Kluyveromyces lactis: one gene and its partners. The protein of the gene in region 3 purifies or fractionates together with the protein of the main gene of each other region. This does not show direct contact. Links are inferred from orthologs where the notes say so. Each region holds a gene or a part of one and is shown on either strand. Other genes may lie near its edges. The genes, in order: TIM23, RIP1 and COX13.

The links.
Region 1: the proteins of COX13 (region 3) and TIM23 purify together in Saccharomyces cerevisiae (affinity purification with mass spectrometry; 3 studies listed by BioGRID, with this or other methods). This does not show direct contact. The link is inferred for Kluyveromyces lactis from reciprocal best matches to the Saccharomyces cerevisiae genes COX13 and TIM23.
Region 2: the proteins of COX13 (region 3) and RIP1 purify together in Saccharomyces cerevisiae (affinity purification with mass spectrometry; 3 studies listed by BioGRID, with this or other methods). This does not show direct contact. The link is inferred for Kluyveromyces lactis from reciprocal best matches to the Saccharomyces cerevisiae genes COX13 and RIP1.

What each region holds. Positions count from the first base shown.
Region 1 is NC_006042.1:578,280-580,946, forward strand, and holds TIM23 (protein transporter TIM23), read right to left. Parts: upstream 1,293-2,667; coding exon 633-1,292; downstream 1-632. Other genes in the region: KLLA0_F06061g (uncharacterized protein), read left to right, coding at 2,434-2,667. UniProt on the Saccharomyces cerevisiae protein: Essential component of the TIM23 complex, a complex that mediates the translocation of transit peptide-containing proteins across the mitochondrial inner membrane.
Region 2 is NC_006041.1:2,012,861-2,015,396, reverse strand, and holds RIP1 (ubiquinol--cytochrome-c reductase catalytic subunit RIP1), read right to left. Parts: upstream 1,226-2,536; coding exon 584-1,225; downstream 1-583. Other genes in the region: putative E3 ubiquitin-protein ligase HUL4, read right to left, coding at 1,977-2,536. UniProt on the Saccharomyces cerevisiae protein: Component of the ubiquinol-cytochrome c oxidoreductase, a multisubunit transmembrane complex that is part of the mitochondrial electron transport chain which drives oxidative phosphorylation.
Region 3 is NC_006042.1:844,171-846,644, reverse strand, and holds COX13 (cytochrome c oxidase subunit VIa), read left to right. Parts: upstream 1-1,560; coding exon 1,561-1,944; downstream 1,945-2,474. Other genes in the region: IME4 (mRNA (N6-adenosine)-methyltransferase), read left to right, coding at 1-474. UniProt on the Saccharomyces cerevisiae protein: Component of the cytochrome c oxidase, the last enzyme in the mitochondrial electron transport chain which drives oxidative phosphorylation.

The DNA of each region.
Region 1 (2,667 bases), about 270 kb from region 3:
GTTTCGTTTCAGGAAGACACATGCCCTTTTATTCACATGATATTAATTTATGAGCAAACTAGTGATGAAGTGTCTTCCTTCGTTAGACCATTTCGTTGTAAGTTCGTCACAAATGCTGTTATAATTTGTTATAATTGCTAGAGTACCAGCAAGGCCCGCCTGGAGAGGCAGATAATAGAAAAGAAAAATATTGACGAAAGATGACTTTATTAAAATATATACAAGACCATGTATCTCTAAACAAGCTGCTGCTTTATTTCTAGCTCACTCTTTGATGCTTGATTTCAGATATCGACAGTCTCAAGAATGGTGTAGAAAATGGTAATGGAGTAGGAAAACATGCATGGCGAGAATGGTGCTGTGGTGGAACATAGCATGAATTTGCTAAAATTGTCATCATATTGTACATTATACGAAAGGGGAATTCAACATGCAAACGTAAGATAAAATTGGATGAAATGGGCGGTCAGTAAATACGAGACATTAGGGGCATATTTCACATTTGAAACAGGATCCTCATGCAAACCATTTCTAAGACCCAATGTAATAGTAGTGTAGAATGAAAGGAAACGAAAAAAAAAGTTTATCGTGTGTTTATATATCCACAGGTTTATCCTTTTCTTTCTTTCAACTTATAAGATTACAGACTTGATACCGCACCATCCTGCAGCAGCAGCAGCCATCAAAGCGGATGCGTAACCCATTGGTTTCAATCCTCTAGAAGATCTGAAAATAGCACCAGTTAAAGCACCAGCTGCCACTGAGCCAGCAACATCATGCTTACCTCTGAAAGAATCGATCACTGAGTTGATCAAGTTGTAAGTTAAGGCCAACACACCAGCATTGTTACCCAAAAATGGACCTCTTCTTGTGATATGGTTTAATACTGTATTCAATTGCAATTTACCTGGTGAGTTAGGTGGGATGTTCTTCAACCCTTCAATGAACCCATAAGAACCACCAAGACCTAAACCAACCAAGTATACAGCACCAGTACCGTAACATAAATCGTCTGTCCAACCTCTAGATGGAATCAAACCTTGAGAACCTTCCATTGAAGAAAGCTGTTCTTCTTCCAAATCCATATACTCAACACCACGCTCTAGCCCTGCTAATGGGTGAAGCTGTGATGGACTTAATCCTCCTGGAACAGAAATAACGTTCGACACATTCGAAATTGATGATGGATCGAATCCTAGAGTTTGTTTCAGTTTATCATCATTTTGTTCAACTGGTGTAGTATTTTCTTGTGAGTCTGTAGATGACTTCTTACCACCGAAGAGCCAAGACATAGCTATACTTTATTATTATTATTATTAGCCTTAGTTTATATGGTATCGGTCAAAGGATGAAAAATCAGGAAGAGATTAGACCCGGTCCGTATTCGACAATAATGAAGCCCTGTATTTATCGGAGTATTGCCTTGATAGACTGAAATGCAATGGTAACCTAGCAAAATACCAATACGGAAAAGATGTCTTTGTCTTAGTATCTACAACTCAAACCTTCGAGGGTGATTCAACGTATCATACTACTACTTTAAACACTTTTCGATTGTAAAATTATATTTCACTAATTTTTCAAAATTTCAAAATATTTCAAGAACTACGGTTTTTTTTTTCTTCCTCTTGTTTCTTCTTGCTTCACAAGAGACTCTGTGATTTCAAGACCATTCAAGGTAAAATCAACGAATCGTACAAAATGATGATTCATGTAACCGGAACCGTTCTGCAGATGTAGCTGACCTCTGTTTTGAGCGCAGCGAAGGGTAAACAGAGAGAAAAAAATTTGTCATTTCATTTAGCATTTCTAGCGACAAAAAAAATATTTAAAACTGACGCCCGCCATGAGACAATGTTATTTCACACGACATTGCAAAAGTTATCACTGGGTTTCCAAACAGATATCAACTGAGGTATCTTTGGATGAAACTTTACCTACGCAGATTGATAGAAATCTGTAAAAAGGAGCGCATTGCCCTTAAATTCGTACAAAGAATACAAAGGAAAATTGGGGATTTGTTAGGAAACGACTTTTCTGAAATTATACATTTTCAAACCAGTATATATATATAAAGGGATCCGTATAAACCTTTCATATCAATGTACTGTCGCTAATGTTTTTTTTTAAAATCGCCTGGGATAATTTGTGAAAGCATTTCAGATACTAAGGTAGCATACATGCACTAACGCATTTCAAGGCTTCACACTTTTGAATAAACATAAATTTAATATAAAGAGTGCAGTTTTACATGAAAAGGACGCTGGAACATATGTCAGTCTGCCCCTCAGAAAAACTCCGATGAATAATTTAGAGAATCATCAATTTTCATTCTCTGATGATTTGTTACACTGTGATTACACGATAAAACACAAGCTGTTAACCCGCTTTATGACGAAAAGTTTCACCCAGTGATTGAAATACAAACAAAAAATGGCAGAACGTAGTGCTAGAGTCCAATTTGATTTGTTCGAGTCCGAAAAAGTGTTGTTGCGACACAAATGGATCAGAATATTAGAGGAGATTGACTCCGAAGTCTCAGTGACGCTTGGATTTGATCTATACAATACTAAGAAAGAGGATACGAAGTTGCACCACTGCGAGTTGAAGAAGGTGAACCAAATGAGAGTCGGTTACGACGAGTTCCTATTGAAGAAAATTAAGGAA
Region 2 (2,536 bases), on a different chromosome or scaffold from region 3:
CGATACAACATTAAGCGATTCAGATTGTAGGTATAACCATGCATCGGGTAGAGCAGGACTATTTCAAAGATTTTGGAATATAATAAAAGGGTTTCAATCACGGTAGTAGCCTGATGTGGTCATTCAGGTATTAATGCGATTGTTTCTCAGTGCAGTTAAAAGGAAAAGTGATGACATACAATTGAACAATGCTTCAAAAGCATTTCATGCTTGCTATCCTTTTAGTTTGCTTGAGCTATGGGGGCACGGGTAGTTGTGGTTTCAAAAATGTTTGTATGAATAAATAATAATAAATCGGGTAGTGATGATGGAACGTGAAAAAACGAGCTTACACGATTCCAATATGACAAACTTTAGCATAAAAGATATTGACCTTGGTTGTGAATCCTACTTGGAAAATACATGGGGGGAGTAGGAGACATCAACATGGGAATAAAGAATTTTATTAGTGAAAGCTGGAGTGAGAAGGACAAAGAGAAAGAGAAAAAGGAAGAGAGTTAAATTTGAGAAATAGCAAAAAAAGGTAGCCTATTTCAACAATTTATCAACATAATATAATCTTTTTTTAGCTTTCCTTCTGCGCTTAACCGACAATCAAGTTTTCACCATCGAATTCATATTGAGGGATTTCCAAGTTCAATGGAGCTGGACCCTTTCTGATTCTACCGGAGATATCGTAATGGGAACCGTGACATGGACAGAACCAACCACCGAAATCACCAGATTCACCGATAGGAACACAACCCAAATGAGTACAGATACCCAACATGACTAACCATTCTGGCTTTTGAACTCTGTCAGAATCAGTTTGAGGATCCTTCAAAGCTGACATATCAACACTGTTAGCTTCTTGAATCTCATGGTCGGTTCTGTGTCTGATGAAAACTGGCTTACCTTGCCATTTCACAACGACATTTTTACCTTCTGGAATAGCAGCCAAGTTGACTTCGACCTTAGCCATAGCCAAAACATCTGCAGATGCAGACATAGAAGCGATGAAAGTTTCAACGGTGGATTTGGCACCGGCAGAGGACAACAAACCTAAAGAACCAACCATAAAGTAAGCATAAGAACGACCTTTGTCAGCATCGTTATTCTCCTTGATATAGTCTCCGAAATCTGGAGTTCTGTAAGTAGACTTGGCAGCAACTGCAGAAGTAGAAATTAATCTGGCTGGAGCAACAGACTTCAAACCAGTCTTCAAACCGTTTCTTAAACCCAACATTTTTGATATTAGTTAGTTATGGATATATCGCTAGAGTGTATTATTCGTACTAATTTCCCGTTCTTATTTCGGAGAAATCGTTTCTATGATATCGACTTTAATCACAACAGCAAAGCACTCTCGGAGTATCAATAAATATATACACAGATATGAATCACCAAGCCAGATTATAAAATATATATATCAATGCAAAAATGTTGTTGGAACTGAAAGTAATAATAAAATGATTGTACTAAATCTTTTTCTATTTTATTTTATTCAGAGAAATTATCAAATTATCTCTATCCATATTAAACAGAAGCCATTGCAGCTTAATAAGTGCGGAAGGAAGCAAAAAAAAAAAAAACAAAGAAAAATTTCAGATTGGGAAAAAAGCCAATAGTAAGAAGCGCTAAAGGATTAAACAAGATATAATTCGACCAGACAGGAATGGACAGTGTAAATGAGCTGGGACGAGGCAGAACTTCCTGGTGTGGTTATTATTTTCCAATTTACAAGTATACAATTTTATTTGCGTAAATGGTCAAGTATAGGAAGATTTTCTTGGTGGAAATGATAACTGACACTAGGGCCTTTGGGCCTAGTGTCAGTAAAACGCTTCGCATTTAACGGCTTTCACATAGTAGCTGTAAGTGTCCATTTCCTTGTGTTTTCTGGTTATTCAAGGGAAGCAGGTTTTTCTGTAAAGCCTGGTTCACGATATGATTGGTTCGTTTGTAGTGATTATATTAATGTATGTTTGTTGCTGACATTATTTAAACCCATAACCCTCATACATTTCGAGGGCAGTCACCAATCGCAGAAGAAGAGTATCACGTGACTCATATTCGTACAAGCAGAGTTCGTTGAAACAGGTATGGGCAGTGGGCAACTGATCATGTGATCCGGACGTTGTGCGGGTTACCTTGAACGGAAGCGTCGCAAGTCCCGTCACTGGAACTCTGTCACTCCCAGTCACGAAATGGAGAAATTGACGTTGCTGTTCATGGGATAATTGTGGTAGTATTTCCCATAGCCATTCCACTACCGGGGTTTGGTTATGGAATCCGCCTTGGTATTTCGTCACAGCGCGAAGTTGTTCGAAATCCATGTCTTGTTCTATGCTGCCACAGATGAGCCTTTCTACTTCACAACTTTTGAACATCGGGAAAGCCAAACCATCCCCGATGACTCTTGTAAACCCGGATTGGAATGCACTAAAACTCGATGAGACCCCCTCATTCATATAAAAATTTACCCACCTTTCAACAAACTCTGTCTTATTCTCCGAGGTTACTGGGATTGATTCTCCTCCGTCACATAACGGTTTCG
Region 3 (2,474 bases):
CAGGAAGAAGGTTTATTGTTCTTGTGGGTAACCGGCCGTGCTATCGAAGTAGGGAAAGAATCATTGCAGAATTGGGGTTACGAAGTAATAAATGAAATATCTTGGATCAAGACAAACCAATTAGGAAGAACAATTGTGACAGGTAGAACTGGCCATTGGTTGAACCACAGTAAAGAGCATTTACTCGTCGGGGTCAAAGGCAATCCGGAATGGCTAAACAGAAAAATAGACATTGACTTGATCATTAGCGCAACTAGAGAAACCAGTAGAAAGCCGGACGAATTGTATGGAATCATTGAAAGACTTGTCGGTACACATGCCCGTAAACTTGAAATTTTCGGTAGGGACCATAACATCCGTCCTGGATGGTTCACGATAGGAAATCAAGTGACAGGCTCATCTATCCATGAAGTGGATGTGAAAAGGAAATACGAAAGATTCATGGAAAAATCAAAGAATTCAAAGACAAACTAAAGATGTAATACTCTCTTTACTTCAAATGTCCTAGCTTTTATTTGTCGATACACAGTATCCATTAGGAGTCTGTATGTGTTCCTTCTTACTTTTCTTCTTTTTTTTAATTTATGTCATACGCCCTTGTAATTACAAACGTTACATTACCCACAAGTTCGTGCTACACTTAAGCAGCAATAGGCAATCTTTTGATTTCCATAACCATGGCTGATCCTACGGGCGTTCTATTAGCCAACGCGCTTGTTTTTTGAATTCAATGCAACAAGCTCTCAGCTTAATCTAGCATTCTATATATTAGGAACGGTGTTTCTGTCCACTACACCAACCCCAGCCGGCAAGTCCCTGCAGCAGCTACTAGAATGACATGCGATGGCTCAGGTTTGCTAAAAACCCAAAATCAATTACCGCCAGGCCGTGAAACAAATATTGTTACCCGGACTTGAATTCCTGAACGTCAATATTACACTGTTTGTCAATATGTATAAAGAGATGCAACAGAAACAGAAAATAAAGTAGGAAGTACTTCTGAATCTGTTGCCAGTGTGAACGGTATCGTATGAGCTACTTGTGGGTTTGTAGTCCCGGCGAGACAGCAACACCATTTAAACAAGGAATAGGAACCTTTTATGCTCAGTGTCCATTACCAGAACTTAAGTCTCTCGTGACCAGCAACCAATCATTTTCATACCGTGTAATGTGATACCGAAATTACAACATCGAAAAAGCATGATCTTTGTCTAGTTTCTCCGTCGTGCCATTTTTGGTTTTTTATATGGAGTGGGATATGGAAATATCGCGAGAGAGATTGTGTTGATGCTAGAAAATTTTGGAGGTAGGAAAAAAAAAATTGTTTAATAGTTAGGAAAGTTCAAGTTATTAAAGCTACTCTTTCCATAATAGAAAAGGTTTTATTGGTAAGTCAAAGTACTTTTTTAAAAGAGATTTTTGTGATTAGTTTTCTTACTGTTTACAATTCATTTTACATTCATTTCGAGTTTGATATCTATTTAACGTCAACTGTGTTTGGTGAATTAATTCCATAAGGATATTCTGTTTCGAAAAGCCAGACCCTAGATATAATCAAAAATGTTCAAACAAGCCATTAGAAGAGCTTCTACTCTACCAAAGTATGCTTTGGAACCAGCTTTCGGTAAGCCAGATTTGGCTGCTGCCCAAGCTTACAAGGACTACATGAAGCACAGTACTGAGCACGCTAAGCAAACCTCTAACTTGTGGGTTAAGATCTCCATATTTGTTGCTGCTCCAGCTATTGCTCTGACCGCTGTCAACACCTACTTCGTTGAAGCTGAACACGCTGAGCACCGTGAACATTTGAAGCACGTTCCAGATGAAGAATGGCCAAGAGACTACGAATTCCAAAACTTAAGACAAAAGCCTTTCTTCTGGGGTGACGGTGACAAGACTTTGTTCTGGAACCCAGTCATTAACAGACACGTCTCTCACGATTAAACACAGTTCGATAAATGATCTCAACTTGTTGGGCTTTGGCCATTCATAATGAAATATCAAGATAGCCCCTGCCTGTGGGTTTTTTTATCTTTTAAAACACCTTTTATCAAATATCCTCAAATTATCTTCAAAAGAATTCAAACATCCGTTTAATCTGGCATTATACTTCAAAATACAACAAACATATGGATAAACTTTATAGTGGAGTTTCCACCATACAAATAATTATTATTTAACTCAAGAAGAATAAACACACTTTTTATCTTTATTGTAAATTCAGTCCTAGAAAAATAGAATAAAACACGTCACACTGTGTCAATGATCATAAGTAGATATAAGTTTCTTCATTATCAATATCTATTGTACTGAATCTGTGACAAGCAGTACATCAACTTCGATATGCTCAGCGTTATGGCAAACGTCTTTAGTAACTCAATACTTACTTTTTTTTCACGAATGATGAATACAAACTGACTTTACGTTCCAAAAACTTTAACTTTACATTGTTCCCCATTGTTAACCGAACAAAA